6 linked regions of the Sus scrofa genome follow. The protein of the gene in region 4 purifies or fractionates together with the protein of the main gene of each other region. This does not show direct contact. Links are inferred from orthologs where the notes say so. Each region holds a gene or a part of one and is shown on either strand. Other genes may lie near its edges. The genes, in order: RECQL4, EPB41L5, NAP1L4, UBE2O, CAPZB and RPL23.

What was found.
Region 1: the proteins of UBE2O (region 4) and RECQL4 purify together in Homo sapiens (affinity purification with mass spectrometry; 3 studies listed by BioGRID, with this or other methods). This does not show direct contact. The link is inferred for Sus scrofa from reciprocal best matches to the Homo sapiens genes UBE2O and RECQL4.
Region 2: the proteins of UBE2O (region 4) and EPB41L5 purify together in Homo sapiens (affinity purification with mass spectrometry; 3 studies listed by BioGRID and IntAct, counting the BioPlex papers as one, with this or other methods). This does not show direct contact. The link is inferred for Sus scrofa from reciprocal best matches to the Homo sapiens genes UBE2O and EPB41L5.
Region 3: the proteins of UBE2O (region 4) and NAP1L4 purify together in Homo sapiens (affinity purification with mass spectrometry; 3 studies listed by BioGRID, with this or other methods). This does not show direct contact. The link is inferred for Sus scrofa from reciprocal best matches to the Homo sapiens genes UBE2O and NAP1L4.
Region 5: the proteins of UBE2O (region 4) and CAPZB purify together in Homo sapiens (affinity purification with mass spectrometry; 3 studies listed by BioGRID and IntAct, with this or other methods). This does not show direct contact. The link is inferred for Sus scrofa from reciprocal best matches to the Homo sapiens genes UBE2O and CAPZB.
Region 6: the proteins of UBE2O (region 4) and RPL23 purify together in Homo sapiens (affinity purification with mass spectrometry; 3 studies listed by BioGRID and IntAct, with this or other methods). This does not show direct contact. The link is inferred for Sus scrofa from reciprocal best matches to the Homo sapiens genes UBE2O and RPL23.

Annotation. Positions count from the first base shown.
Region 1 is NC_010446.5:285,511-290,852, forward strand, and holds the start of RECQL4 (ATP-dependent DNA helicase Q4), read left to right. Parts: upstream 1-1,695; 5' UTR 1,696-1,750; coding exon 1,751-1,834; intron 1,835-1,898; coding exon 1,899-1,932; intron 1,933-2,060; coding exon 2,061-2,161; intron 2,162-2,388; coding exon 2,389-2,529; intron 2,530-2,884; coding exon 2,885-3,673; intron 3,674-3,748; coding exon 3,749-3,875; intron 3,876-3,979; coding exon 3,980-4,087; intron 4,088-4,194; coding exon 4,195-4,326; intron 4,327-4,411; coding exon 4,412-4,504; intron 4,505-4,583; coding exon 4,584-4,720; intron 4,721-5,096; coding exon 5,097-5,180; intron 5,181-5,263; coding exon 5,264-5,342. UniProt on the Homo sapiens protein: An ATP-dependent DNA helicase which unwinds dsDNA with a 3'-overhang in a 3'-5' direction. Does not unwind more than 18 bp of dsDNA. May modulate chromosome segregation. The N-terminal domain (residues 1-54) binds DNA Y-shaped DNA better than ss- or dsDNA.
Region 2 is NC_010457.5:31,285,304-31,289,882, forward strand, and holds part of EPB41L5 (band 4.1-like protein 5), read right to left. Parts: intron 4,001-4,579; 5' UTR 3,993-4,000; coding exon 3,813-3,992; intron 1-3,812. UniProt on the Homo sapiens protein: Plays a role in the formation and organization of tight junctions during the establishment of polarity in epithelial cells.
Region 3 is NC_010444.4:2,078,697-2,083,275, forward strand, and holds part of NAP1L4 (nucleosome assembly protein 1-like 4), read right to left. Parts: intron 2,632-4,579; coding exon 2,492-2,631; intron 1,087-2,491; coding exon 941-1,086; intron 1-940. UniProt on the Homo sapiens protein: Acts as a histone chaperone in nucleosome assembly.
Region 4 is NC_010454.4:5,099,432-5,104,010, reverse strand, and holds part of UBE2O ((E3-independent) E2 ubiquitin-conjugating enzyme), read right to left. Parts: intron 1,982-4,579; coding exon 1,884-1,981; intron 1,478-1,883; coding exon 1,414-1,477; intron 230-1,413; coding exon 86-229; intron 1-85. UniProt on the Homo sapiens protein: E2/E3 hybrid ubiquitin-protein ligase that displays both E2 and E3 ligase activities and mediates monoubiquitination of target proteins. Negatively regulates TRAF6-mediated NF-kappa-B activation independently of its E2 activity.
Region 5 is NC_010448.4:77,793,784-77,798,362, forward strand, and holds part of CAPZB (F-actin-capping protein subunit beta), read right to left. Parts: intron 3,247-4,579; coding exon 3,105-3,246; intron 2,768-3,104; coding exon 2,651-2,767; intron 1-2,650. UniProt on the Homo sapiens protein: F-actin-capping proteins bind in a Ca(2+)-independent manner to the fast growing ends of actin filaments (barbed end) thereby blocking the exchange of subunits at these ends.
Region 6 is NC_010454.4:23,278,121-23,283,445, reverse strand, and holds the start of RPL23 (60S ribosomal protein L23), read right to left. Parts: upstream 3,482-5,325; 5' UTR 3,456-3,481; coding exon 3,443-3,455; intron 2,867-3,442; coding exon 2,783-2,866; intron 2,485-2,782; coding exon 2,356-2,484; intron 1-2,355.

The sequences.
Region 1 (5,342 bases), on a different chromosome or scaffold from region 4:
GGGGGCCACCTAGAGAAACAAAGCCATCAAGCATACGAAATACATAACCAGCACGCTACCAAAGACGCCCAGCTCGCCTGGGTGTGTTTTTGATGGCTGTGGCTCTGCAGCCCCGCCCCGCCTCTGTATTTCAAGCCTCTCCAATCACAAAGCCATATCTTCCCTTCCTGAAAAGTAGGAAAAATCTAAGGCCCCTCTCCCTACACACAAGTACTAGACGGATGGGAGAATCCCAGGGGGCTGGAAGGTGCATCACAGGGCCCTCCCCCAGCCTCCTCGGAAGCCCTTGCAGGCCACCCTTAGATTCTGTGCTGCACCGCAAAGAGGAGTTGCCTGTACAGTCGCAACTTAATAAACACCAAGGCAGGCAGAAAGGACCAGGATCCAGGGAACTTTGAGTTCAGAGGGCCTGAGTAACCCAAGCCCTTGACATGAGCCTCACTTCTAGTGGTATCTCTCGGGAGCATCATGAGGCACGGAGACCCCTGCAAATTTACGGAAGCAAGAAGGAGGTTGTTGCCACCTGTCTAAACACCTCTCTCAGCCCTGGAAAACCCTGTTGAGAGACCAATTCTCAAACCAGTGGGATTCAAAGGCCCCAGACCCAGGCCTTTGCTCAGATGGGCGGAGGCCAGAAGGACACGCAAGCTTCCGGGGAGCAAAGAGGAGATGCCTGAGGCCACAGTAAACCTGGGCGTCAGCTCTGCTGCTGACTTCAGCAGCAGCAACAGTTAGCCCGCTTAACTGGAACCTCTCAGGGGACCCTCTTTTCACCCGCCAGGGGAACCTCTTAGGGCCTCTTTACTGTGCGTCAGGCACCTCACCCTCACAACTGCCTCCGGGTCATCTCCCTGGAAACAGATGACAAAACTAAGACCTAGGCATTCCCCACAAAGGTCACAGCCTGGGTGATGAGCTCGGGAAGGGTGGCAGCCTAGCCCCAGAGCCCCTCTCTTGCGGACCTCACACACAAGTCCTTAGGGCACTGGTTCCTGAGGAGCCCGGGACGTCAACCCTCTGCCAGGCTCCGCCTGTGGACAAATCTCGCGAGGACGAGTCATACCTCGCAGCGACGGGACAGACCAACCAAGCACCTGTCACGAGAGGAAACGAAAGCAGCCAGTATGGTCACCGTGGGAGGAGCTTCTCTGCGGTGGCCGCCGCCCCCTCCCGCGGGCCCGCGGCTCAGGCGTTTCCCCGAGGACGCCCCCGCTCGGCTCCTCCAAGCCTCGAGCCATGGGAGGCCCTCGATCCGACGCCCTCCGCCTCCTGCGCCGGGTCTTACCCCTTGAAGCCTGTGCGTTGCCCCCCGAGACCCGAGACCGCTTAGCCCGGCGCCGGGCTCCGGGTTCTCTCCACTCCGCAGCCGCAATGCCCGGGCTCCTGCCTGCGCCTCCCGGACGGCACCGGCCCGGCTACCCGCGCCCGCCTAGTGCGGCCAGGAAGAGCCAGGACGCACACCGCCCCGCCCCGTCCCCGGCCGGTGGCCAACGCTCACTAGCCTCGCAGCCGCCACCACCGCGGACGGCCCCGCCTCGCCGTACGTCGCCCCCAGCCCAGCGCCGCCGCGCGCCGCGATGATGTATTTGCCCGCCCATTGGCTGCCGCACCAGAGCTCCGCGGATAGGCTGCACCGGCCCGGCGGCCGCCGCGCCGCCCCGCCTCCGACCCCGCCGAGCGCCCCCATTGGCTGGCGGCCGGCGTCGCCCTCCCGGCGGGAGATTCGCTGGGCGCGGCAAGCGGGGCTGCCATGGAGCGGCTGCGGGATATACGCGAGCGTCTGCAGGCCTGGGAGCGCGCGTTTCGGCGGCAGCGCGGGCGGCGGCCGGGCCAGGTGCGGGCTACCCATGGGCGGGGAGCTGAGGGTGCCGCCTCAGACTAACGCGCTCCCTTTACAGGAGGACGTGGAGGCGGCGCCAGAGGAGACCCGCGGTGAGCGCGCGGGCGCGGGGCGGAGGGAGCCCTGGGGACGCGGGCGGGGGCTGGTGGGTGAACGAGCGGCCCGCACCCCCGCCGGAGTCTTGACTCCTGAACACCGACTCCCCTGACCCCGCTCTCAGCGCTCTACCGGGAGTACCGCGCTCTGAAGGAGACCCTGGGCCAGGCCGGCGACGTCAGGCCTAACAGCTTGGGGCGTTCGCTTTCCGCGGCGGCCGAAGAGGTACCCGGGCTGGACATCTGAACCTCTCGTTCAGCTCCCTGTACGCCGGTGCCACGAGGAGCCGTGGCCCAGGACACAGAACTTGGGGGGAGGATGGAGAGGGTGGAGCAAGGCCTGCCCTGCCCCCCCCAGGTCTCAGGGCGCGGGTGTGCGGGAGGTGGCTGGAGACACCTCTGGCCCCACGCCGGTTTTTCCGTAGTTTAGGTCAGTACTGTCTCATCCTGCAGACGCTGGAGCCCAGCTGCTGGGGGCCCCACCTGAATCGGGCTGCGACCCAGACTCCCCATTCTACCTCAAGGCTGATCCCTCAGGGATCTGTGCAGGACTATGGGAAGAGGCTTAAGGCCAACCTAAAGGACAGCCTGCAGGTGAGGAGTGAGGGTTGGGCAGGAAAAAATTTTTTGAGTTAAAAAAAGGGGGGGAGGTTGGGCAGGCAGTACATCGAACCTATCTCCAGAGCTGCTTGTTGCCCCAGGGCAGATCACCAGGTACCCGTCCTTGTGAACTCCTCCACACAAGCTCATCAGCTTGCACATGCACACACACAACTCCAGCGTTAACCAGGGCACCACTCCTCGGAAGAGTTCAGGGCAGCCTTTTCTCAGCTTCCTTTCTTCACCTGTCAGTCTTGTTCTCACCCAAGTGTTACGGTGGAGACTCCAGCAGGTTTCAGGCTTCGGCAGCCCAAGGGCCTGAGCTCCTGCTTGCCTGTCTCCCTCCCAGACCGGGCCAGCCCTGGGCCGAGTACCTCGGCTTGAACGAACACCCTTCTCCAAGAAGTCCTCCCCAGGGTCTCCAGGCACAGCGGCTGCCCTCATTTCTCCAGAAGAAGTCGGCAAGGTGCCCTCCCAGCTTCCCAGGACCCAGCTGAGGTCAGGCCGGCTCCAGGAGCTGAGGGCATCCCTAAGCTTGCGGCTGAGCTCCCTAGACCCTGGCTGGCTGCAGCGGTGTCACAGTGGAACCCCAGATTTTCCGGGGGTCCCCAGGGCCCGCGGGCCTGGCGGGGATGCAGAGGAGTCACAGCTGACTTCAGGTGTCCCGTGTGTACTCAGTCCCAGCATTGGCCCCAAGGTACCTTTACTAAGCCCAGAGGCTCCAGCGCCACAAGCAGCTGGTGTCAGTGCAGGCAGTCCCCAGCCTGGTAACAGTCAAGGCAAGAAGCGGAGACTGAGTTGGGAGCTGCAGGGGAGCCCTGCACAGCCCCAGCAGGATGGTAACCAAGGAGGACCCCCACCTGAGGGCGCTGCAGCTGCAGGGCACACAGAAGATTGTCTAGAGGAGCCTGTGCGGGCACAGCCCCTCAGCAACCCCACCACCTCCAGGTATCCCTGCTCTGGCCCCAAGCGGGGTTGCCTTCCGTTAAGTCAAGGCGAGTGGGCATCGCGCACAGCCCACCTGTGCATCTCTTCTAGACCCGCCATCCAGGACAGGGGGAACTATGTGCGGCTCAACATGAAGCAGAAGCGTTATGTGCGGGGCCTGGCCCCACGTAGCAGGCTCCTCCGCAGGCAGGTAAGGAGGTGGTGCCAGGTGTTCCCTCTTACTCATCCTACTTCTCGGTTTGTGACTCTCTTGTGTCCCTGCCAGGTGTGGAAGCAGAAGTGGCAGAAGAAAGGAGAGTCTTTTGGGGGTGGTCAACCCAGGGCCACAGCCAAGGATTCCTGCTTCCGGTGTGGGCAGCTCGGTCACTGGGCATCCCAGTGCCCTCAACCAGGTGAGGCCTCTGCCTTGGGTGGTTGCTTGAGCCCACACTGCTTGGAAGGGGAGGCAGTTCTGTCTCCAGCAAAAAGCCCTACTAACTCCCTACCTCTGGTCCAGAGCCTGCCCCTCAGAAGGAGGGTGGCAAGGATGAGGATGACACAGGGACTCTGCCCATGTTAGAGGAAGTACCCCAGAGAACGGGCACCACCTGCTGCCAACTTCCTGGTGCGTGAAGGAGCGGACAAGAGGTTGGAGCAAGTGGCCTCCTTTCCGGGATGAGCCCAGACCAGCCTGGAGCTTTTGTGCTACCCTGTCCTGTCTGCTCTTGGCAGGTGAGGAAGACACAGAGCCTGCAGGGCCTGAGCTGTCAGTGCCCATGCAGTCATCTATGCCCAGGGCGCCCTGTCCACCACCTCCTCCCGTGCCCCCACTCTACCCGCTGGGACCGTCAGGGCAGGTGGCAGGTGAGTAGCCACCTACCATCCCAGTGCCTTTACTGAGGAGGTGGGGGCGTCTCGGGGCCATACCGCCTGACACCTGTGCCTGCAGACACCCCAGCCGAGGTGTTCCAGGCCCTGGAGCAGCTGGGGCACCAAGCCTTCAACCCTGGACAGGAGCACGTGGTCATGCGGATCCTGTCTGGTCAGTTTGGTTGGCAGGGGGCTGTGGTGGGGCCAAGGCCGGCCACAGGGTGGCACTATTGACCCTCAGAAACATCCAGGTATGTCAACACTGCTGGTGCTGCCCACAGGGGGTGGCAAGTCTCTGTGCTACCAGCTCCCTGCGCTGCTCTACTCCCGGAGAAGCCCTTGCCTCACGTTGGTCATCTCTCCCCTCATGTCACTCATGGATGACCAGGTGGGTGGACAGGGCCCCTGGGCACATGCAGAAGGTGAGAATGGGTAGCCACCGCTCCGTCAACCTACTTGGGCTGTTGGTTCTTGCTCTGCCCCACCCAGCGCTGCAGAGAGCCTGGCTGTTCACAGCCCCAGGCCCCCCAACAGGAGGAACGGCACTGGGGGAATGACACCCCCCCCCCACTACCTGTCTATTCCTGGTGCTCCTGCATCAGGCCCGCAGGTGGCTCTGAACCCTGAGTCGTGGGACCCAGGATCTAGGTTTCTTCTCCTCAGAGGGCCCGAAGTTGAGAGAGCAGTGGTTGGCAGGCCAAACCATCCTAAGAGTTGTGTGGGGAAGGGCCAGGGTGGGTGGCATCATGCTCCTGTATCTGCAGGTGTCTGGCCTGCCCCCAGGCCTGAAGGCGGCCTGCATCCACTCAGGGATGTCGAAGAAGCAGCGGAACTCTGCCCTGCAGAAGGTAAGGGGGCCTAAGGGCCAGATGGGCAGAGGGAGCAGTCCCCTGGAGGCCCTGTGCAGTTGTCCTGACCTTGCCACCCTCAGGCTCGATCAGCCCAGGTACAAGTGCTGATGCTGTCGCCAGAGGCGCTGGCTGGGGCAGGAGCAGCGGGGCTTGCCTTCC
Region 2 (4,579 bases), on a different chromosome or scaffold from region 4:
TATAATCCTGATAATGTCTGATTTATTTATTTCTTTTGTTGTTCATGTTTCTGGTGTCATATCCAAGAAAATGGTAATGAATCCAAGGTCATGAAGATTTATCCCTGTATAAGAGTTTTATAGTCTTATGTTTAGGACTTTGATCCATTTGAGTTAATTTTTTTTTTGGGTATTTAAGCTGCATGCACATTCTCAAGCCAGGGATCAAACCCACCCCCCAGCAGTGACACTGCCGGATCCTTAACCCACTAGGCCACCAGGGAACTCAGCTTTGAGTTAATTTTTGTCAATGTATGAGTTAAGGTTCCAATTTTATTCTTTTGCACATGGCTATCCTGTTCTAGAACCATTTGCTGAAAAGACTATTCATTCCCTCATTGAATGGCTCTGGTACCTGTCAAAAATCAATCGCCCATAGCTCTATGGATTTATTTCTCAGTTTCCTATACTGTTTCATTGGTCTACATGTCTATCCTTGCACCAACAAATCACACTATCCAGATTACTATATAGTAAGGTTTATAGTAAGGTTTATAGTAAGGTTTCGTGGTTTTTTGGTTTTGTTTTTGCTTTTTACAGCCTCACTTGTAGCATACAGAAGTTCCCATGTGAAGAGTCAAATCAGAGCTGCAGCTGCTGGCCTACGCTACAGCCACAACAACTCAGGATTTGAGCTACATCTGCGACTTACACCACAGCTCATGACAACACTGGATCCTTAATCCACTGAGCAAGGCCAAGGATCGAACCTGTTGAGTTACAAAGGAAACCCCCTATAAGTAAGTTTTAAAACTGGGAAATATAAGCCCTGCTACTTTGTTCTTTTTAAATATTATTTTGGTTATTATGGGCCCCCTGAAATTCCATATGAATTTTAAAAATCAGCTTGTCAACATCTACAAATAAGGTGTGTGATATCCTTGGTAGGATTACATTGCATCTGCAAGTCAGTTTTGGGTGTAAGGCCATCTTAACAATGTTAAGTCTTCCAATTTGTGAACATAGAATTTTTTACATTTATTTAAAGGTATAATAGTCTATATAACTTAAATCAAATGAGTTACTGCAGCATTTCCAAAGAGTAAATTCTAAAATCAGATGATTAGAAATTTCTACCTCATGCCATCATCATTTACCAAAAGGCATTCTCACTATATTAGTTCCTTTAAAAAAATAAGTAGAAGGTATTTAAATCCCCTCCTCTAATTTTGAGAGGAAAGGGAAAGAGAAGAAATTAACTATTACTACTAGTGTATATTAACCTGAGGTGGCTAGATCTAAATTTCTCTACTTAATTACAGATAATTCCTTACTTATTGCCTGGGTGATCATCTTAGTTTCATGCTGCTTGCTAAGATCAGTAGTGACCCTCATCCTAATAGGAAATAAGCATGTGTTCATTCAATTTCTAAGATCAATTCTAAATCTTCTTTCAGAACCATACTAGACTGTTTAAGAAGCTAAACCAAAAAAAAACCAAAAACAAAAACAGAGAGAGAGAGAAAAAAAACTGCAGTTCCTACTGTGGCGCAACAGGATCAGTGATATCTCTGCAGTGCCAGGACGAAGGTTTGATCCCCAGCCCGGCACAGTGGGTAAAAGGATCCAACATTGCCATAGCTGTGGCACAGGTCACAACTGTGATCTGATCTCTGGCCCAAGAACTCCATATGCTGTGTAGCGGCCAAAAAAGAAAAGAGAAAGAGAAAACCTTTCTTCATAGAAATGAGTATTCCTCTAGCCCTTGTCTTTACTAAGGCATTTCAGCAGAGGGGGGTGGCGGGGAGGGAAACACCCACTTTATATCCATACAAGCACCTAGAGTGAGCATACTAATACTTCGCTTGCAGAGCTGAAAAGGCAATTAATTGTTCTGGTTCCACAAAGAGTCAAATCTTGGCTTTTTCACAGCAATTGTCTGCATGTGAGGCCAGCCAACATTTCTAGCCTTGATCAAGCATCACACACCTGCTTACTGAGCACCTGAGGCAAAGGAAGCCATTTCATACCAGTCACTAGCCGTCTGTTCCACTATGTTCCACTATTTAAAACCCAGTGCTGCTTTCTCATCCACACTATGTCACCTTTTCAAAAAACTCCGTTTCAAATTCCACCTTCCTGGTATCAGCCTCCCCATCAATCACCTTGAGACTTCATACTTCAGACATTAGGTAATAAGAAACTTCTTTCCACTCTCTTATACAGCAATCTCAAGCTTTTGACCACATACCTAATGCTATTTTAATGGAATAGTACACAAAACTCTTAAGATCCTTATCAAATTAAGAAATGAATGTGAAAACTACCCTCACAAAGTATCACATATTAGAATGTCTGACAAACCCTTAGGAAGAAAATTTAAATGCATTAAAGTCTTTCAGACAGTATACAAATATTTCTGTACAAATATAATACTCAAAAAGATGACTTCAAAACATTTCAAGATATCCTGTTCTTAATTTTACCATATTCCTTTTTTTTTTCCTTTTTCTTTTTAGGGCCCTCCTGGGCATATGGGAGTTCCCAGGCTAGGGGTCAAATATGAGCTGCAGGCTGCTGGCCTACACCACAGCCACAGCAACACTGGATCTGAGCCGCGTCTGTAACCTACACCACAACTCATGACAACGCTGGGTCCTTAACCCACTAAGAGAGGCCAGGGATAGAACCCGCATCCTCATGGATACCAGTCAGGTTTGTAACCTACTGGGCCACTACAGGAACTCCCTCATATTCCATTATTTAAAAAAAAAAAAGTATAAGGAACATATTTAGTCATTCTAAATTACTTGATCAATCAGAATGTTCATTTAAACAAACCATCCAACTCTTTAATCTCTCACTCTGTGAGTTTAAGGCCTTGCAGAGCTTATTCAACTTTGTAATGCAGCAACACCCAGGCTATCCTGCTGCACAAAGAGATTTTTTTAAACTGCATTTTGGGTGAATGAGTATGTAGTAAAAAGCGTTTGTGGGGAAGGAAGACATGTGGAAGATTCAAAGACACCTCAGCTCACACATTTTACAGCTTGGTTACGTAAATCTTTTAATACAGGACAAAGAGCAGACAGCTCGGGAAAAAACTCAACTTCCCCCAAACCATACAGCTACTTCTTCCACTCCCCTCAAAAAAAGACCTGTAAGGAATACGTTAGCCCCTTTCAAATATATTGGACTGTTTCATACTTTGAGTTATGATTATTCATAACTGCAAAAAAATCTCAAAATGTGATATAACTGTAACATCCACTCTTGAAAAAAAGATTACAGCATATGTATGGAAAAACAGGTTGTATGGAAAAACCTACTTTGCAAACTACTTTGAGAACAGAGATAGAACAGCCAGAGCTGAGGAGTATGAAGAAAGTCCTTTTACTCACCTCATTTCATTAAAATTTCAGCAAGCACATCAAACTGGAGGAATTATTTGTTTTAAGGAAAGTAAGGAGTGTTTTGAAAATTACAAAAAAATATCGAGAACTAAAAGTCTTATAGTATCCACATAAGTATCATTATCGTCCCCAAAGATTCTTATTGCTTTAATCCTAGCTCAACAAGGATTGTGAGAAATCCACTAGAGTACACTCCATACTGCTGTCACACATACAAGACTCATGCCAGTAATTGCCCTAACACTTGAAAGTTTCAGTTAACTGCCACTAATCCCAGGGAAATACTCTCATTCCAGGTGTCTAAGGCTACCTGATCCACGGGAGCCCATGTTACCTAACCCTCTGGAAGTTAGCGGTGGAAAGCTCAGAAGAAGAAAAGTGACCCCAGGGAGAATCTTTAGGTCAGCAAGACCTACATACCGGCAAGTCCACACTGACATCAGTGCCATCCAGGAGGGACACCCGGCACGTGATGACAGACTTCGCATCTCCAGCCGCAGGGATGTGCGTGGCAGCACGCTGAGCTTCTCGGAGCCTTTCCTTCTCAGCATGTTTACGCATCGACCTCCGACCGAGGGTTCTGCGGAAGAAGCTCAGCATCTTGGTCACTACAAAACCAGAGAGAAAAAGGTATCAGAAGTCTCCTTACAATTTGTAGTCAGACAGATGGTGTCATTTAGGAAAGTTCTGTCAACATTAGCAGATGAGTTATTAAAAAGAGCACCTGGCCAAGTAAATTTAAAGACAATAAATCTGGCTACTTTAATTCATAATTTTTAAAGACTGTAACACAAAATAGAACTATGGCTTAAAGCATTTCTAAACTTTCTGGACTATTTTATAGGGCACTAATCTAGTAAGAGAGGGGCAAACATTCATGAAGTTCATCAGGTCTTTTGGGCCAATAAATTATAGGTACGATAGCCAAACATTAGGAGACAAAGCCATACACTGAGGTTTCCTTTGATAATAACAACAATCCTAGGAAGTTCCTTTTCTTCTCTCAGCATTCATAGTAAAAATACAAAAATCATCACCTATTTCAGCTGAAATACAAATATAATGTAAATATAAGTTTTTATCAAATACTCTATTACTTACAGATTTTAAATTGCTGCTTAATATAAATAATTCCTTACAATGTCAAATTAATGCTACCTCTTTCCTTATCTCTGTTAAGAACATTA
Region 3 (4,579 bases), on a different chromosome or scaffold from region 4:
AGGTCGCAGATGCAGCTTGGATCTGGTGTTGCTGTGGCTCTGGCGCAGGCCGGTGGCTACAGCTCCGACCTGACCCCTAGCCTGGGAACCGCCATATGCCGCGGGAGCGGCCCTAGAAAAGGCAAGAAGATGAAAACAAAAATAAAAAATAAAAAGCTGTATACTATGAAATTCACCCACTTTAAGTATGCAGCTTAGGGACGTCTGGTACATTTTTTGACTTGCGCAACCACGAGGCCCCCCACATCACTCCCCAAATTCTCGAGTCCACTTATTTAAAACGACTAACAAAGCCACTGAATTTAGGAATCAAAGCCCCTCTACTTTGGGGTGAAGTCACACAGGTAACCTCCAATACACCCAACCTGAGGCTCCAAACGAGATCTGCCCCCAAAAAAGAAATTTAAGAACTGTAATTTACGGCTATTCTTACCCCCAAACCAACGTACACGCGACCTTCTAGGTTCACAAATGAACTGCGGAAACAAACGAGCAAAACCAAGTCGTGGAAAACCACCCCAAGAGTAAAGACACAACGGACTGGTCACAGGGACATGAGGTCACACGGGAGAGGACGCCACCCTGCGGCCCCAGGCCCACCAACTGCCTAAAGCAGGGCCCGCACCTCTTCATTGCAAACTGGTTTTTGTTTGGGGAAAATAAAGAGGAAGTGTCTGCCCCCACAGCCACACCGGCACACGGCCGGGAGCTCTGGCCCTCCAGTTCTCCAAGTCAGCTGCTCAGCCTCCACTAGCTCGAAGGGTCCGTCTCCTGTTTTAAAAACTAGGGGGAAACAAGACGCTTCCAGGCCAGGGCTCTGCCCTACGTCTGTGCCTGTCACAGGATACGTGCGTCCCACCCCTCGCCTGCTCCATCAGGGCAGCAGAAAGACCCGAAAGCCAAAGGGAGCGCGCGCCCCGCGCAGCCCGGGCGGGCTCACCTTTGAGCGGGCTGAAGAAGTTGAAGAAGGAATCGCTGGGGACCTGCTTGGTGATGGTCCTGACGGTGCCTCGGCCCTTGTGTTTCTGCTTCTTCTTGATGGTTTTCACCGTCACGTTCTTGCCTTTCTTCCAGTCAATGGCGCACCTACAGGGACGAGACGGCGGTCACGGGGTCGCCCTCCCTGAGAAAAACCGGCCACGTGTGCACAGCCAGCACCCCCGGCTCCAGCCTGACCGGGCGGCCTCCTCCGACAAGCTGCCAGCAAGCGCTGCTCCCCGAGGGCCTGCAGGACCCCCGGGCGGGTCGCGGCGGGCCGTCCCGGCGGAGGCGGGCTCCGGCAGGGCTCTTCCTGAGCCCGAGGCCGACGAAGACCTTGTCGCCTGCTGTCCCCTCACAACTCTCAGCCCGTGAAGCTACCTACTCGGGGACCCGAAATCTCCAGGTGACGGAGTGGCACCAGCTGGAGAAAGCAAACAGGAGGCCGCTGCAGACCTGGCCACCCGCAGGCCTGCACGCTCCGGGGCTGCCGAGCACACTGGCGGGGACCGCGAGCAGCGAGCTTTCGGGCTGCATCACGGTGGACCACAGGTGCCACCTGGCATCGGACACGCCCGGAGAGCCAGCCTTCTCCCACGATGGCCTGGCCCTGGGAAACGACCCGTCTAAATGACTGGCTATTCGAGCCCAGAGGATTTGGACTGAGTTCTGCGTTACACTGGGGATTCGTAAAGCTAAGTGTTTGGTTCCGTGAGTAAGAGTAACCTTTTCAACCAAGCATAAAACAATTCCGGAGTTCCTGTCGTGGCGCAGCAGAAACAAATCTGATCAGTATCCATGAGGTTGCAGGTTCGATCCCTGGCCTCGCTCAGTGGGTTAAGAACCTGGCATTGCCGTGAGCTGTGGTGTAGGTCGCAGACGTGGGTCAGATCTGGTGTTGCTGTGGCTCTGGTGTAGGCTGGTATCTGTAGCTCTGATTGGACCCCCTAGCCTGGGAACCTCCATATGCCCCAGGTGTGGCCGCTGAAAAAAACAAAAACAAACAAACAAAAAAACCCAATTCCCAAACCGTCTCAAACCAACCAAAGGGCATCAATCACCTCCAAACCATTCTCTCCTTGGTGACGCATCTGGACTGAAACCAGCAAGGCGCTCATCGTGCGGCAAACAGCACGCAAACTGCCCACCAGGCCCACAGCGAAGCTACTGCCCAGTACCGCCCGGCTCGGCCCAGTGTGGGCACCGCCACCCACGCCACAAGCCTCTGCTGCGAGGAGTCCGCGAGTCAACGATCAGCGCTGCACCAAGGTGACGAGAAAGCCCCACGCCCTCGCCCAAACGAGGGAACCAGGCCGCCTCTCCAGACCCTGGCACGAGCGACACACGCGCCATTTCCCAGCGCTGGCCATCACCTCCCCACTTAGACGGCTCGTTTATTCCAATCTTTGTCCACTGGGCTTTGTGCTTTATTCTTAAATTCTATCTTACTTGTAAAGCTCTAAAACCATCGGCTTTTTTCTCAGAAAGGGAAGTGGAAAGGGCATTTCCTTACCCGTCACAGTCAACTATTTCAGGGCCTTCAAAGGAAAAGGGATCGGCCTTGTCCGGCTCTGACTTCATCTTGTACGTCTTGGTCAGGACTGAGTTGCTGAAGTAGTCGTTGGGCTCAAAGTGGAATTCTAACACGAAAGACTGAGAACAAAGCCCGGGTAAGTACCGCTTAGGGTCCTGAGCGGCCGTCTCGGGACCCACACAGCACCTCCTGGAAGCCAGCCCCTCCCCAGGCACGCCGCTCCCCGCAAACCTCGCAAGGGGCCGCCACGGCGACAACTCCAGCGCAAAGTCAAGACGTGGCGGCAGGCGGGGAGCAGCCGGCACCCTTCAGTGCGCGAGAAGGGGCACGGGCGGCTCTGACAACCCGGCCGGGGGAGAACGAGCTCCCCCGGGGAGTGGCACGTCTCCCCGCTGCCCCGCCTCCCGCGAGGTCAGTGGGGCGGGAGCTGGAGGGAGCACGCGGGCGTCAGGGAGCCCCGACTCAGGGGCACAACCCCACGTGGGGGAGAAAAGGAAGCAACGAGTGGGCCTCTCCCGACCACGGCAAGGACGAGCTTGTCCTTCGCTCACCAGGCATCCTGCACATCTGGAGCCAAGCACCGGAGAAGTGGGGACAGAGCAGGTGTAAGGACAGAGCAGCAGGAAGAGAGCAGCGGCAACAAAGAAGATACTCACGCTCTTAAATAACAAAGCACAAGAAAAATAAGGAGTTCCCGTGGTGGCGCATCAGACACGGATCCGACTGGGAACCAAGAGGTTGCAGGTTGGATCCCTGGCCTCACTCGGTGTGTTAAGGATCCGGCGTTGCCGCGCGCTGTGGTGTAGGTCGCAGATGCAGCTCGGATCTGGCGTTGCTGTGGCTGTGGTGTAGGCCGGCGGCTCCAGCTCCAATTGGACCCTCAGCCTGGAAACCTCCATATGCTACGGATGCAGCCCAAACAAGAAAAGAAAAATAAAATGAGACGCCCCGTCTGAGCAAAACGTCCAAAGCACACCCAGGACTGGCAAGTGCTCTGGGAAGCCGGGAGCACTCGTACCCCGTGAAGGGCTCTACAGGGGCAGCAGCGAACATTAACCAGCTAAATCGTCTGGGACTGATGAATTGCGCTTTGAGGAATTTGCCCCGGTTGAGAAAGACACTAGGAAGGATGCGGCGACCCGGGGGGAAGACGTCCACCCCCGCCCCACTCATAAAGCCAATGGCAAGCCGGGCTCGGCGCACGGCAGAGGCGGTCGGTCCACAGGACCAAGTCTGGGTTCAAATCCCACCTCTGCCCATCAGTGCTGTGTGACTCTGGGAACTTACGCACTGTCTCTGGGCTTCCATTTCCTCACCTGTGAAATGGAATAAACAACCCTCTCCCTCCACGAGTTGACCTGAGGATGAATCTATGGAAGCCCTTAGAACAGGGCTGGCTTTACAAGCAATACTTGCTGAATGTTAGCTCTTTCCGTTTTTATTCTAATGGTACAACCATCACGGAGGAAAAACTTCTTTTAAAGACCAAAACCAAACCACTTCCACAAAGGGAAGTGGAAAAAGAAGCCTCCAAAGAAGGGGTGGTGCTTGTCTGTGCTTAGCAAGCAGACAAGGGCTCCGAGGGACGGGGGCAGTCCAGCAGGTGCCCAGAAGGGAGGTGGCAGAGTCCGGCCAGGTCTCCACTGACCTCAGGCAGGTGGTGTGGGCTGGAGGGGAAGGGGCTCAAAAAGCCCCTCAACAAGTTGCTGGTCCAGTGAGGACAGAAGGCAGCTACGGGGACCCCAGAACCTCGGGGGACCCCCACTCCAGACCTCGACCCCAGCCCCCTGTAAACAGGATCTTTCGGTTGCCCCTGAAGCAACATTCAGACGGAAGGCAGGAGGCCGTCAGCGGAGAGACCACCGCTACTGAGAAGTGCTTTGGGCCATGACCACAGGTGTGAACAGGCCACCCAGGGGACATGGCACTGCGACACCGCTTCCTTCATCGCTCCCTAACTTCTGTCGGGACAGACTACCTACTTTCCTCCTTCTCTCCCCGTTTCCCCCCTGCCGTTTCTCCAAACGAAGGGTGCTATTCCTTTCTTCCTATTTTCCCACTTTTCTC
Region 4 (4,579 bases):
CTGCTGGTCACCCCCCTGACCACAGCCCGGGTCCCTCTGTCCTCAGAGCAGGCCACTTCCGGCTGGGAGGCGCTCCAGGCCCTACCTCTTCCACCACCACGCGGAACTTGCTCTTGGTGCTGAGCACCGGCTTGACCCCCGAGAGCCACTGGACGCTGGAGAAGATCTTGGCAGGGCCGATGAGCACCTGGCCTGGGTAGAAGCCGTAGGAGTCATCGAAGAAGAGGCCCTGCAGGATCGGGGCCGGAGGAAAGTCCCTGTGAGCGGTCCTCCTGGGGGACGGTGCTCCCCACCTGCACCCCATGCTGTCCACACGCCACCTCCCTAAGGCTCCAGGGCAGCACCTCCCAGGCCTCAGATGCATACAAATAATGCCCGCGGAGCCTATAAAACGCACGTTTGAACCGTCCTGCTGCTAACGAGCTCTCAGGCCACAACAACGGCACTGTCCCAGGGGCAACACTTTCAGGACCAAAGCTCTAGACGGCAGGGGTCCTTGAAGCTGTCTGAGCCCCTGTATTTTCTTTCCTTTTTATTTATTTATTTTTGTCTTTTTGCCTTTTCTAGGGCCACTCCTGTGGCATATGGAGGTTCCCAGGCTAGGGGTCCAATTGGAGCTGTAGCCTCCGGCCCACACCATAGCTCACGGCAACAAGGGATCTGAGCCGGGAACTCCCCTTTTTATTTTTTAGTTAAAAAAATCCTTTTTTCTTTTTAGGGCCACACATGGAAGTTCCTAGGCCAGGGGTCAAACTGGAGCTGTAGGAGTTCCCGTCGTGGCGCAGTGGTTAACAAATCCGACTAGGAACCATGAGGTTGCAGGTTCGATCCGTGGCCTTGCTCAGTGGGTTAAGGAGCTGTGGTGTAGGTCACAGACGGGGCTCGGATCCCACATTGCTGTGGCTGTGGCGTAGGCCAGTGGCTACAGTTCCAATCAGACCCCTGGCCTGGGAACCACCATATGCCGCAGGAGCAGCCCTAGAAATGGAAAAAAGACCAAAAAAAAAAAAAAAAAAAAGTCATGCTGTAGTAAAATACTGCATACACACTAAGAGAAAGGGAGATCTTGAAAGGATGAGATAAAAAGTTAACGAGCTGCAAAGTTCTACTTTCTACACCTAAACTTTTACACCTTTTATTTTGCACCCTTGGTGTGTGGAAGCTCCCGAGCCAGGGCTTGAACCTGTGCCACCAGGCAATTGCTTTTACGCGTTCAGATACACAGCCGCCCTTTCCTGGGAAAGCACTGGCCTACTGGCCTAGAAGCCCTGGCCAGCCGGCCTGGGCCTGCCCCAGCTCTCTGCGGGTGCCCCCCTGCCCCCCGCCCCTAGCTCTCTGCGGGTGTGCCCCTCTGCCCCCCACCCCAGCGCTCTGCGGGTGCCCCCCCGCCCCCCTTTGGATAAGCAGACGTACAGAGTCGCTGACATGCGGGCAGACGTCGTAGAGCTTAGCGCCGTCTTCTGTGTTCATGGAGCACCTGCAACAGGGAACAGGGCTTGGTCTGCACGGGGACACCTCACAGGAGGTGAGGCCAGGGCCCCACGCGGTGCCGGTCGGTATCCACGGGGTGGCCCAGGGGCGTCAGTGTGTCAGCTGCCCTAAAGAGGCACGATTCATCCTCTGGTAAAAGCGACTCTCCTAAAACAAAGAGCCGCTAACCCAGAGCTGCGTCTTCACGAGCATGAAGTGCCCACGGCAGCCCCTGCCAGGCATCCTGGGTGACAGGGTGGAGCGAAGCCCAGAACCCGAGTCAGAGGGTCAGGCCCGGGAGGCAGCCCGGCTCGGCCCTGGAGGAAACCCGTCACCGCAGGCCCCGAGATGACACCGCGCCCCCTGCCCAGGCTGCCCCGCCGAACAAGGGCGCGTGGCGACGCGAGCCGCACCTGGCGCCGTTGGACAGCTTGAGGATGATCTGGTTCTTCAGGTCGTAGACCTTCCCCAGCCAGCAGTCGTAGGCGATGTAGTCCCCATACATGAAGGGCTGCAGACCGAGGGGACAGGGGTTGAGCGACGGCCGATGGCGCCGGTGTCCAGGGCACCCACGCCTCCTGGCAGAGCAAGGCTCTAGATGGGCTGCACCCGCCAGCCACCGCAGCAGGCTTTCCCCACAAAGGTCAGCCGCACCCCAGCTCCCGTCCCACTCAGAGGCAGAAGCCTGACGGTGTCCAAGGACAGAGGCCACGTGAGTGGGAGCGGCTTACACCGACCAACGAGACGAGGGGTGTGAGTACACAGAGAGCCACACGGAGAAGTCCAGCGGCGAGCCCCTCACCACCGGGAAAGGCAGGGGCGGAGTCTGAGGTGCTGGACTGGAGGTGGAGGGACTGAGACGAACTCACACGTCTCAACGCATACACAGAGCAGGCAGGGACATACTCAGACATGCGTGTGCCCACGTGTACACACAGACGTGTGTCCTCAGTGCTGCCCTGAAGGGGGCGAGTGGCAATCAGCACGCCCAGCCTGCAGCCAGAGCTTGGCCTTTGCAAGGCCCTTCTCTGAAAGGAACCGGGGCTCCTTGGAGAAACGGCTGATGCCAGGCTGGATCAGAAAACAATACAAGACGGGAAGAAGGTGCCGAAGAAAAAAATGGTGAGGACATTGTCAAAAGGGCACAGGTGCCAGCTTGGAGGGGGTCCTACTGGCCAACTCTGAGATCATTTATGCAACAAAACAAATAGTGGTAGTAACTTCACAACCAACTGAGTAAGGCAGGTGTCTCTGCACCCTACTGATGTAAAAAAAACAAGAGTTAAGGGGCAGGAGGTCCCGCTGTGGTGCAACAGGATAGGCGGCGTCTCCGCAGCGCCAGGACGCGAATTCAACCCCGGTCCAGTGCAGCGGGTGAGAGGATCGGGAGCCGCCGCAGCTGCGGCGCAGGTGGTAACTATGGCTGGGATCTGATCCCTGGCCCAGGACTCCGCGTGCCGTGGGACAGCCAAAAAAGAAGACAAGAAAAAAGGCATTAAGTGGGACAGAGGACACAGCTCTTCCACACAGCAGACCGAATCATCAGCGCCAGACTAACAAAGGCAGGCAGGCGACGACGGGAGCAGGACACCACCCCTCAGCGGCCATCCGAGTGCGGGCTGGTGCGGGGGGGACTGTAGGTGGAAGCGAGGCGGGGGGGGGGGCTTGGAGAAGGGCCAGGTGTTGAGCATCTCCCCTCAGAACTGATACTACCACTTGCAAAGGGGCGAATGCTGACCTTCTGAAGAGGCTTGGCAGAGCCCAACACGACCCAGGAGCAAAGCATGTCCCTACAGTGTGGCTGTGGGACGTTCTGAGCCTGGGAAAAGCCCAGTTCTGCTGAGAATGTAGGGCCCGAGGCTGGACACGAGGCCCCAGCAGGCAGCTCCCCACACAGGGTCACCCAGGATAAGGAAGACAAACAGGACTGGGGGACTGGTCCAGACTGGAGGAGATTAAGGAGCAGTTAAAGGCAAGAAGGGTTCCTGATGGAATCCTTGGCTCGGCGGGGCAAAAGGATGTCTGTCACCAGGACAACTGAAAAGGAAGGGTTAGGGTTAGGGTTAGGGTCCCGGTCTGCGGGCTGAAGGGTGGTTAAAGAGGAGACTGTTCCTGGCGTTCCCGTCGTGGCGCAGTGGTTAACGAATCCGACTAGGAACCATGAGGTTGCGGGTTCGGTCCCTGCCCTTGCTCAGTGGGTTGACGATCCGGCGTTGCTGTGAGCTGTGGTATAGGTTGCAGACGCGGCTCGGATCCTGCGTTGCTGTGGCTCTGGCATAGGCCAGTCGCCAAAGCTCCGATTCGACCCCTCGCCTGGGAACCTCCATATGCCTCGGGAGCGGCCCAAAGAAATAGCAAAAAAAAAAGAGACTGTTCCTGTTTGGGGGAAATATACACACGGTAGTATTTAGGGGTCACAGGGCATCCTACCTGCAGCTTGCTTTCAAGTATTTCAGCAAAGTGGGAAAGAGAGAGCGCAAGCGAGGGAGGGAGAGATGGCGGGGGGACAGGTGCCGGAGCAAACGGAGCGAAATGTGTGCGCTGAGGAAGCTGGACCTGTAATTTCTCAGTTAAGTTGAAATCATTTAAAAAATAAACTACTGGAAAGATACTTATTCTTTAAAAACAAAACACAGGCGTTCCCATCGTGGCGCAGTGGTTAACGAATCCGACTAGGAACCATGAGGTTGCGGGTTCGATTCCTAGCATCACTCGGTGGGTTGAGGATCTGGCATAGCTGTGAGCTGTGATACAGGTCACAGCCGAAGCTCAGACCCTGCATTGCTGTGGCTGTGGCTGTGGCTGGCAGCTACAGCTCCGATTCGCCCCCTAGCCTGGGAACCTCCATATGCTGCAGGAGCGGCCCAAGAAACGGCAAAAAAAAAAAAAAAAAAAAAAAAGACCAAAAAAAAAAAGTATGTGAAAAAACAAAATACACCAAAACAAGGCACTTGAGGAGAGAGGAAAGCAGCAATCTCTGCTGGAGACCGAAAGACGTGTCCTGACCTCGGGTCTGAATGGCCGACGCACGAGAGGCGCCAACCAGGCTGCAGGGAGCGAGCCGGCCGCTGGGCTCTGCCGTCTGACCTGGAAGGTGCAGGACCTCTGC
Region 5 (4,579 bases), on a different chromosome or scaffold from region 4:
CGGCTGTTAAGAGTCCTAAACATGGACCCTAAAATAAGGGCCTTAGACCTGCCTAGAAGCTCAAAGTAGGCAGGTGTGAGGCAGAGGTTAAGACAAGTCCGCTTCAGAGGAGGCAGCACCTTCCAGTCCAAGCACCCAGTTCACCTCAGACACCCCTGGAAGAGACACCCCGGAGATGAGCTGCTCAAGACACCTATGCCTAAGAGCAAGAGACGGGCACACAGCAGCTGTGACACTGTGACTTCTACGAAATATGTATTTAGTCATTCAGATGACCGGACTGTATTCCTCATGGACATCTGGTCTTCATCCATGGTTCCTGGCTCACAGCTCTCAAACCTTTGGAATTTCCTGAGCGGGGAGAGCAATGGGAGCATCTTTTGTTCTCTTTGGTCTCCTGTTCTCAGTTCCTAAAATCAATTGCTTCGGGGCCAGAAAGAAAAACAGGTGCCTTGTCACGCATAACAAACCCCTTTTCACCACAACTGGGTTTATGTTACTGAGGCGACTTCTGGAAGGCACCTAAAGATGGGGGCTGGTTGCCAGGGGAACCAACCATGAATAGAGGGGTGGTGGAACCTGTAGTCCACTAGGGGAAGGCAGGGGCTGGAGAGTGAATCAATCACCGATGGCCAATGAGTTAATCTGTCATGCCCCTGTAATGAAGTCCCACAAACCCCCACCAAGGATGGGTTTATAAAGGTGTCCTTTAATATCCTTTGTCATAAACTTGCAATCTAATGAATAAATGGGTTTCCCGAGTTCTGTGAGCTGCTCTAGCAAATAAATTGAACCCAAGGATGGGCTTGTGGGAACCTGGTGTTTGTAGCCAGTAAGTCAAAAGCACAGGTGACCACCTGAATTTGCCATTAGCGCCTGAAGATGCATTCAGGGAACGGGGGCAGTAGGTCTCGTGGGACTAAGTCCTTAACCTGTGGGACCTGAGGCCACTTCTGGGTAGGGCGTCAGACTAGCAGGTGAACTGTAGGACACCCTGCTGATGTCTGCTTCGTGGTGGCATGGGGAACCACCCCACAAGAAGGAATTGGGTGCAGAACCCCAAAGAGTAGCACTCGTCAAATTTTACTGTGCACACAAATTATCTGGAGAGCTTAGTGAAAGGCAGACCCTGATTTGGCGGGTCTGGGTAGGGCCAAGCTCCCTGCATTTCTGACAAGCTCCTGGGTGGTGCTGATGCTGGAAGGTGCCCTCCAGCAGAGGACAGGCTGCAGAGGAGAGGCCCTCAGAGTGCCCACCTTCCTGGTCAGGACGTTCATGACTAGAGATGGGAACCAGGGCAAAGCAGTGCTTCTCACTGCTTCAAAGGAGCCCAAGGTGCAGAGACGCACTGAGCCCTGAGGGTGAGAAAGAGCCAGGGCCGACCCTGCAGTCACCTGGTCCTACTACGGCAGGGAGCCAGCAGGCGGTGTTCAACCACAGGGAGCTCAAATGCATCTATCTAGAAATGTGAACTCTATTTCATGGTGGCTCGAGCTGAACAAGCTCAGCTAAAGACAAGTGCCCTAGAAGGATGGTTATCAGACCCATCCCTCCGCCCGTGGAAGTCTTTGGTAGCCATGCTGGAGGGCTCTGAATTTGGCCTTGAACTACTATGGAGACACCAAGTCATCTGAGTTAACATGCAGGGAACAAAGCCGGAAGGAAGACCTAACACCTGGACGACCGAAAGCGAGATGTGACTATCCGTCCCTGGCAGAATGGACAAAGACCAAAACGGGAGGGCCCAGGTAAAAACCTCCTTTTAAGAAAGGTCAGTGGCACAAGAACAGAATGGGAAATCCCTGGCCTCGCAGTGATGCGTGGGAAAAGAGGTGGGGGTACCCGCCCCTCCCTTGATGGTGATTCTACTCCAGGGAATCAACACCCCTGTTCCATCTACTCCACGGTGGGTAGTCACCTGACTCCGGCCTCAGGAAAGGACTCTGAGATGGACGGTAACCCGATCCGGCAGTGAGATGCTGCCTCCAGGAGCTCCCATGTGGGGATTCAGGGACCTGCCCCCATCGTTTGTGTCTAACACCCAGCCGGGCTGAATGAACTCTGAAACCGACAACTTCGTGAGCAGACCTGTTTCCGTTTTTGCTTAAGTCAGAGTTTTACTTCTGTCACTTGCAACCAAGAGCCATAATACATAATCTAAGTCCCAACTTGACTTAATTACAATTAATTAATCCATTCTAAAACGTTACCAGTAGAATGTCCTACTTTTTTTTCTTTTGCTTTTCAGGACCACACCTGCGGCACAGGGAGGTTCCCAGGCTGGGGGTCGAATCGGAACTACAGCTTCCGGCCTACATCACAGCCATAGCCACATGGGATCTGAGCCAAGTCTGTGACCTACACCACAGCTCACGGTAATGCCGGATCCTTGACCCACTGAGCAAGACCAGGATTGAACGCACAACCTCATGGTTCCTAGTCAGATTCGTTTCCGCTGCGCCACGACAGGAACTCCTGTCCTACATGTCTTGACCCGAGATAAAGCCTTCCGTTACTGAATCTCAGGAATGACTCACCAACAAGCCTGTGAGGAGGTCAGGCCCCAGGACATCTCTGCGGGGACACCCACCCGCTCAACTCCACACATGGCCAGCTCTGAGGCCGCCTCCCTGGGCCCTGATCACTCTACCTGTCTGGTAAGGCTTCCTCCGAGGTTCATGGTGCCAGAGCCAGATTTGTTGGTTTGCAGCCACAGCATCACCGTGGAGGTCAGCTTGTAATGCGCGGTGCGACCGCTGGACTTTTCCTGCAGGACGAGACACAACCCTGAGCTGAGTAGAGCCTGAAGGGGCCCATGAATTCAGGTCCTCCTAACATGCCCCCTCCTCAGAGGTCACCACGGCCTGACCTTCTAACACCCCAGCTGGTTTTTAAAGGGACCGAATCTGCAGTCATGTGTATTCAAGTTCTTTGCTGATCTTTTTCATCAGTGACTACTGTGTTCCTGACCTATCTTTATCCAAATGGCTGTGGGCACTTTAAGGGCCCAGCAGGGGTTTACCCGTCACAGAAACTCCCCATCGAGAGGCACCTGCTAGAAAAGAGGCTGCGCCGCTGGGGCCACCAGCTGCGGGGAGCTGTACCTGCACTTCCACCACGTGGATGGAATCCCAGCAGCCTTTGATCTTCTTTGATCCGTCTCCAGCCTTCTTTATGAGGATCACGCCAGCGAAACCGTGATCCAGATCCCAGAGGTAGACAGATGAGACACCGCCTTCAAAATACCTGAAGGAAACAGGCCCAACTGCCCATTAGATGTTAAGCCCATCAAATTACAAAGCATCAGCCCAGGTCCCACGGGTTGCCATGTGGCAAAGATTCATCTAAATGCCCGTCTCGGATTAAGGACCCTCCCTACAGTGGTTCCAGGGTTGACACGCGCATGTGTCCTGATCAGCGCTGGCTGCGGGGGGGACAAAGCACCCTTTGGTGGGGGGGGGGTGTCACAGAAAGAACACGGAATTAGGAGTCCTAAAGATGAACTGGAGTTTGAGCAGCCACTTACGCTAGTTCTGTGGCCTTTGGCAAGCTTACTAAACACGAACCTTCGCCAGGCTTCACATTCCTTCCAGATGAAGTGTGTGACATGTAACAGATACTCAATGGGAGTATACTAGTGAGTGATCACTGTTGTTGGATATTCCTATCCTTTGGGATGGATATTTTACAGGAGATAAGGAGGAAAAAAACAGAGCAACAACGCTCTGCTCATAAAGCTGTTCTATAGTGAAAAAATACACATGATAAATGCTATGTTTAGAGAATGTGTGTAAAGGGTATAAAGGAATTCCTTGTACTCTTTTTTGAGTAATTTCACTGTAAATCTGAAACTCTCTCAAACTAAAAAGTCTTTGTATAAGAGATTGAAAAAAAAAGTCTCTGTACAAAGTCTAGAACGTGACATACACCAGGATGTCACCAAGAGACCATCGGACAGAAGAAGCTACCCCTCCTCCCGCTGCTGAGCTGCAGGGCACCACCGCTCTAACCCACTGCAGGCCTGCTGGGCGCCCCAGGGTCCACACCAAGGTCTGCTCCCCTCGCACCCTCCCCACCAAGGTTCCTCAGGCAGACTGTCCCCATGTGTTACCCTGCACCCTCCACCCCGATTACGCCATCTGTCTCCCCGGCCAGGCGGCCACGGAAGGCAGGTGAGGGCAGGAGGATGTATGAGGCGCCGGCCCTGGGGCTGAAAGGCATCGGACAGACTGAGGGTGGCGAGGACTCTGCCTCCAAACCAGTGCCACAGAGTGCAGAACTGCGAAGGGGAAAGCTCGAGAATCAAGAGCTCGGTGCCATGACAGGTGACCTCCAGGGAACAGGACACTCAGGGACAGGACACTCAGGGACCCCACTCAGGAAGGCTCTTTCTCTTGTTCTGAATCTTTCTCCAAACCCTACACAGGTAAGTGTTTTGGTTTAGCACCTGAGGCCGCATCTCCGTCCATCAGGCCGCCCTGGTCTGGCCCAGCCCTGCAGGGAGCTGGACACACCACGGCCTGTCCTGGGACATGTGGAGGCACATCGGTCACCTGGGGACCTGAGCTCTCGCTCAGGT
Region 6 (5,325 bases), about 18 Mb from region 4:
TGCTGCTCTGCAAGTGCAGCTCTGATTCAATGACCCTTAGCCTGGGAACTTTTTTTTTTTTTTTTGGCTTTTTAGGTCCACACCCATGGCATATGGAGGTTCCCAGGCTAGGGGTCAAATCGGAGCTACAACTGCCGGCCTACACCACAGCCACGCATGATCCCTAACCCACTGAATGAGGCCAGGGATTGAACCCGCAACTTCATGGTTCCCAGTCAGATTTGTTTCCGCTGCACCACGATGGGAACTCCTATATGCCACATTTTGTGGCCCTAAAAAGGGGGAGAAAAACCAAACACGTTGCTTCAACCAACCTCAGGCAATGCAGCATAGTAACATATACTTAATGGAAAAAAAAAAAAAAACTATACTTAAGTGGACGCATGCAATTCAAGGGTCACCTGAATTCATTTAGAAGAAACAAGGACCAAAGCATTATAGTTGAAGTGTATGTTCTCTCTGTCCCACACTGATTGAGACAGACAGCATATCCTGCTGCCATCTCACTCAGTGGTGGCCAATTGCTCTGCCCTTCTCTGACAGCTCCCCAGGCCACAGATCAGACCCAGCAAGTGTTCTAAGAGGAACGCCTGTCCAGCTGCATGCTGATCCCGATCTACACATTGGTTAACTGATGTTTAACCACAAAGCTACTTATTCCTTGTCTCCCAAGCCCTCAAGTGAGTATTGGAGGCAAACAAAGTAAGATTTCTGACCAAAAGGCCTGGGAGTGGGATGCAGGCCTACAGTGACACAGGCCAGACACCTATCACATTTGTACTGCATATCGAGATGGCTAGGGGAGTTCCCTTTGTGGCTCAGTGGTTAACGAACCCGACTAGCACCCATGAGGACTTGGGTTCGATCAGTGGGCTATGGATATCTAGCATTGCCATGAGCTGTGGTGTAGGTTGAAGACATGGCTCAGATCCTACGTTGCTGTAGTTCTGGCGTAGGTCAGAGGCTACAGCTCCAATTCGACCCCTAGGCCTGGAACCTCCATATGCTGCTGATGTGCCCTAAAAGACAAAAAAATAAAAAGAGATGGCCAGGACTTCTCAGGAAGAGCAAAGACACCCCAGGGCAGAGAAAAACTAAGCAGGCACAGGAGAAAATTCCAGGAACTGAGCTCAAGTGCATTGAGAATCAGAAGCTCTAAACGTCTAAAGAGAGTAGGTCAGAGGTGCCGAAGTCCTGCCCAATTGGTATACCTAGTGATAAAACTTTTGGGGGTAGCCTGATGATTAAGCAATGAACAGCTGTTCTAGTTTCTACTACATATCATTGTTTCTTTTCAAATTAGTAGTTTCAGGAAAAGAAATTTGCCAGAGGTAGACATTAAGTTTTAAATCTGTGATCTCACCTGGTTGAGCTCAAAACACACCTACAAAAATGTATTTACCAAATACCACCATGTTCATTTGCAGCCAAGGAATTTATTATCTACAGACAATGCTTATGGAACTCAAGTAGAAGAGACAGCTCTAAATGTCACATGCACAAATTACCACCTGGTTTAAGGGTTATGTGGAGAGGGGAGATTGGGGTAAGGAAAGGTGTCAACAAGGTTGTGAGCTGAAGATGAGACTTAGCGAATTCCTGGTAGAAAGAACAAAGGAATAGTAAGAGCTGAGGAACACACCATGAACCTGGGTATTCTAAAAGGATAAGCTTTTGCTTTCATAGGTATGTGAGGTGGTCTGTAACTCTCTGCTGAACTTGCTGGGGAAATACCAAGGTAAATATGTGGAACCCCCAGCTTAAGATGGAAGCCAACTGAGAACTGAAGTACGGGAGTGATAGGATTTACATTTTAAGGAGTTCCTATCATGGCACAGCAGAAACGAATCCAACTAGGAACCATGAGGTTGCGAGATTGATCCCTGGCCTTGGCCAACGGGTTAACAATCTGCGGTGGCTGTTAGTTGTGGTGTAGGTCGCAGACGCAGATCAGATCCTGTCTGATTCTGGCATAGGTTGGCAGCTGCAGCTCCAATTCGACTCCTAGTCTGGGAACCTCCATATGCCAGGGTGTGGCCCTAAAAAGCAAAAAAAAAAAAAAAAAAAAAAAAAATTTAAAGATAGGCTTTGGCTTCAGTGTAGCAAACAAATTTAAGCAGTAAGGGAGGAAGCTAAGATTAGAGAATGATGTCTAAAGACAGCAGGAACAGAATTTAAATTGCAGGTATTTATCTTACAATGTCTTTCAAAGGAAATCAAGCATTAAGAGGCCCTGAGAGGTTAAAAAACAAAACAAAACAAAACACACACCAAACTATTGCTTCATTCTCCAATAAAGGGAGAAGTGGTTCAACGGTCCAGAAACCATAAGGAAGATTTGGTCTGTCTACTCACCCTTCTTTCTGAGCTCTGGTTTCCCTTTCTTGACTGTGGCCATCACCATGTCACCCACACCAGCAGCAGGAAGTCTATTCAATCGTCCCTTGATCCCCTTCACAGAAATGATATAGAGGTTTTTGGCTCCTACGAAAGGATGTAAACAAAAATGGTCTTTTTGAAGGGCCGATTAGGCAGTCCTGCATTTCCGACACTTCCAAGGCCTCTCTCTCCACTCACACCCCCAAGCGGTTCCACTCCCCCACCAGGTGAAATAGTTTGTCACACCACCGATTGAAGCAAAACAGCACAACTTGCTGCCGCTTCACCCAAAAGTGGTGTTTTTACTGTGCCCTTTCTTGGCGGCTCAGAAGGTCACGAGCAAAAGGCCCTCTGAGTGCTTTTAGAAAGGGGAATTTGGCAGGGTTGCAGCTTAAGATCTCACCCGTGTTATCAGCACAGTTGATCACTGCTCCAACCGGAAGACCCAAGGAAATCCGGAACTTAGCACCAGAGGACCCACCACGTCCTGTTAGTAGGGCGACAGAAGAGAGATCACTGTCCAGTCATGGTTCGGAGTTCCCTTCGCATTCTCAAGCTATGAATTCATTCGCATGTGTTTTGGGAAACGGTACACTATAGATTCGATTTCTCTAGGATTCCACTTACCCCCTCTCCAATGCCACTCAGTTCTCAGGGCAAATATCCAATTCCTCCCTCCTACAACCTCACATTGAGATTAGGGGGCCTGGACGACACAATTCCCGATCCAACTTTTGTACCACGCAGTTCTTCCTCCAAGGCGGGAGACCGCACACAAGTCGCCCGCTCTGCGGCTTAAGCTAGCCTGACTCCAACACCATTACTGCAGTGCTAGGCGCAGGGCAACCTCCCGGGGGATTCACGACTAGAATCACGACTGGATCCTGCCAACTCAATCCTCCAGGCCCCTCCGCCATTTCGGGGACTGTCCTGGTGCCCATCCACTCCCTCTCCGCCCCAAAGGAAAGCAGAGTGCCCCAGCTGCCCGTCGCCGCAGCTCCGGGTGAGGCCAGCAGCCACTTCGCGACAGATGGCGAAGGATCTCCCCAAGCCAAAGCCTCACCTCGCTTCGACATCTTGATGGCCCGACAAGGACGAAAAGGAAGTAAGAACAAAGGACCTTGGGATATGAAGCCGACGCCCCGCCCATTCAGGTCACGTGATCCAGAGTTGCCGTGTCCGCCCCTTCCCCGGGGCGTTCTCTTATTACGTCATAAATCGTGGACGTTGCCGTCTCTCGCTTCGAAGTGGGCAGTGGAATCTTTGAAGGCTACAGAAGAGAAAGAGTGCTTGAGTACCTACTGTACGAGTTGGAAAGTAGTTGTTGGGGACACAGAAACATTGGTTTAATTTATCGGACAACCTCTTCTGAGCACTAAGTGTGTACCAGGGATTTCGATGGACGCTAGAGGTTCAGAAATGATTAAAACATCCGTGCTGTATAAGGGCCCCCAAAAAACATGTGGCGGGGGGGGCGGAGTGAGAAAGAGCTCGAAATAGTTTCATTAGGATGTGATATAACTGAGAAGTGCCATTCCAGCGCTACAGATAATTCCTTATATGTGTGCTTGGTCCCACATTCATCTATATTTTAGAGTCTTGTTTTACTCATTACTCTTTTCATTGTTTGTCTTTCCCATTCTTCAAAGGAGCTCTGTTGATATAGTCATTCAAATATTTATTGAATGACTATTTTATGCCAGATACTGTCTTGGACATACACTAGACTACGTCAAAGGAAACAGATCTCTCTCTCTCTCTCTCTCTCTCTCTCTCTATATATATATATATATATATTTTTTTTTTTTTTTTTTTCTTTTTGCCTTTTCCAGGGCTGCTCCCATGGCACATGGAGGCTCCCAGGCCAGGGGTCCAATCAAAGATGTTGCCGCTGGCCTACGCCAGAGCTACAGCAACGCGGGATCTGAGCCGCGTCTGCAACCCACACCACAACTCACGGCAATGCCGGATCTTCAACCCACTGAGCAAGGCCCGAAACCTCATGGTTCCTAGTCCGATTCACCAACCACTGCGCCAAAATGGGAACTCCCAGATCAATATTCTTGACCTTAGGAAGCTTACATTCTGCCAGGGTGGCAGTGAAAGTGGATATTAGATACTAAATCATAGATGTAATAATTGCACTATATAGTATGTTAGATGGTTTAAGTATTATGAAAATAAAAGTAGAAAAGGGGGATCTGGGAGTGGGAGGAGGGGCAGACTGCAATTCAAAATCAGTGGGGGCTTCATGGAAGAAGTGTGACCTTAGTGCAAAGGTTTTAAGCTGAGGGACAATATGATTGTCTAGAGAAGAGCAATCCAGATAGAGTCATCAGCCAATGAAAGGCCCTAAGGCAGAAATGTGCCTGAGCGATATGAGGACCAGCAAGGAACCTAGGAGTGACTGGACAGAGTAAATGAAGGGAAAAGTAGTAGGACAGAAGGTCAGAAGTAATGGAACTTTAGGTCATTGTACACCGCTATTGACTTTGATATGTACAGACTGAAATGGGAAACGGTTAACTCATAAGCATTGAAGGGACATGATCTGAAAATATGTCAGAAGGATCACTCTACTTGAGACTAGAGAGAGCACAAAGATACAAGTAAGGAGGTCTATTGGGAGGCTCTTGCAATAACCCAGGAGAGAAAAACGGTGGTGGTTTGGACTTAACGTGCTAGCAGTATAAGTAATATGATGTGATCAGATTCCAGATGTGTTTCAGAGGTAAAGCCAACAAAGTGTGGGGGTGTTAAAGAACGAGAAGAATAAAAAATGAGGAATTTCCGTCTAGTGGAAATGAATCTGACTAGCATCTAAGAGGATACAGGTTTGCTCCCTGGCCTTGCTCAGTGGGTTAATGATCTGGCATTGCTGTGAGCTGTGGTGTAGGTCACAGATGCAGTTTGGATTCAGCAGTGCTGTGGCTGTGGCGCAGGCCA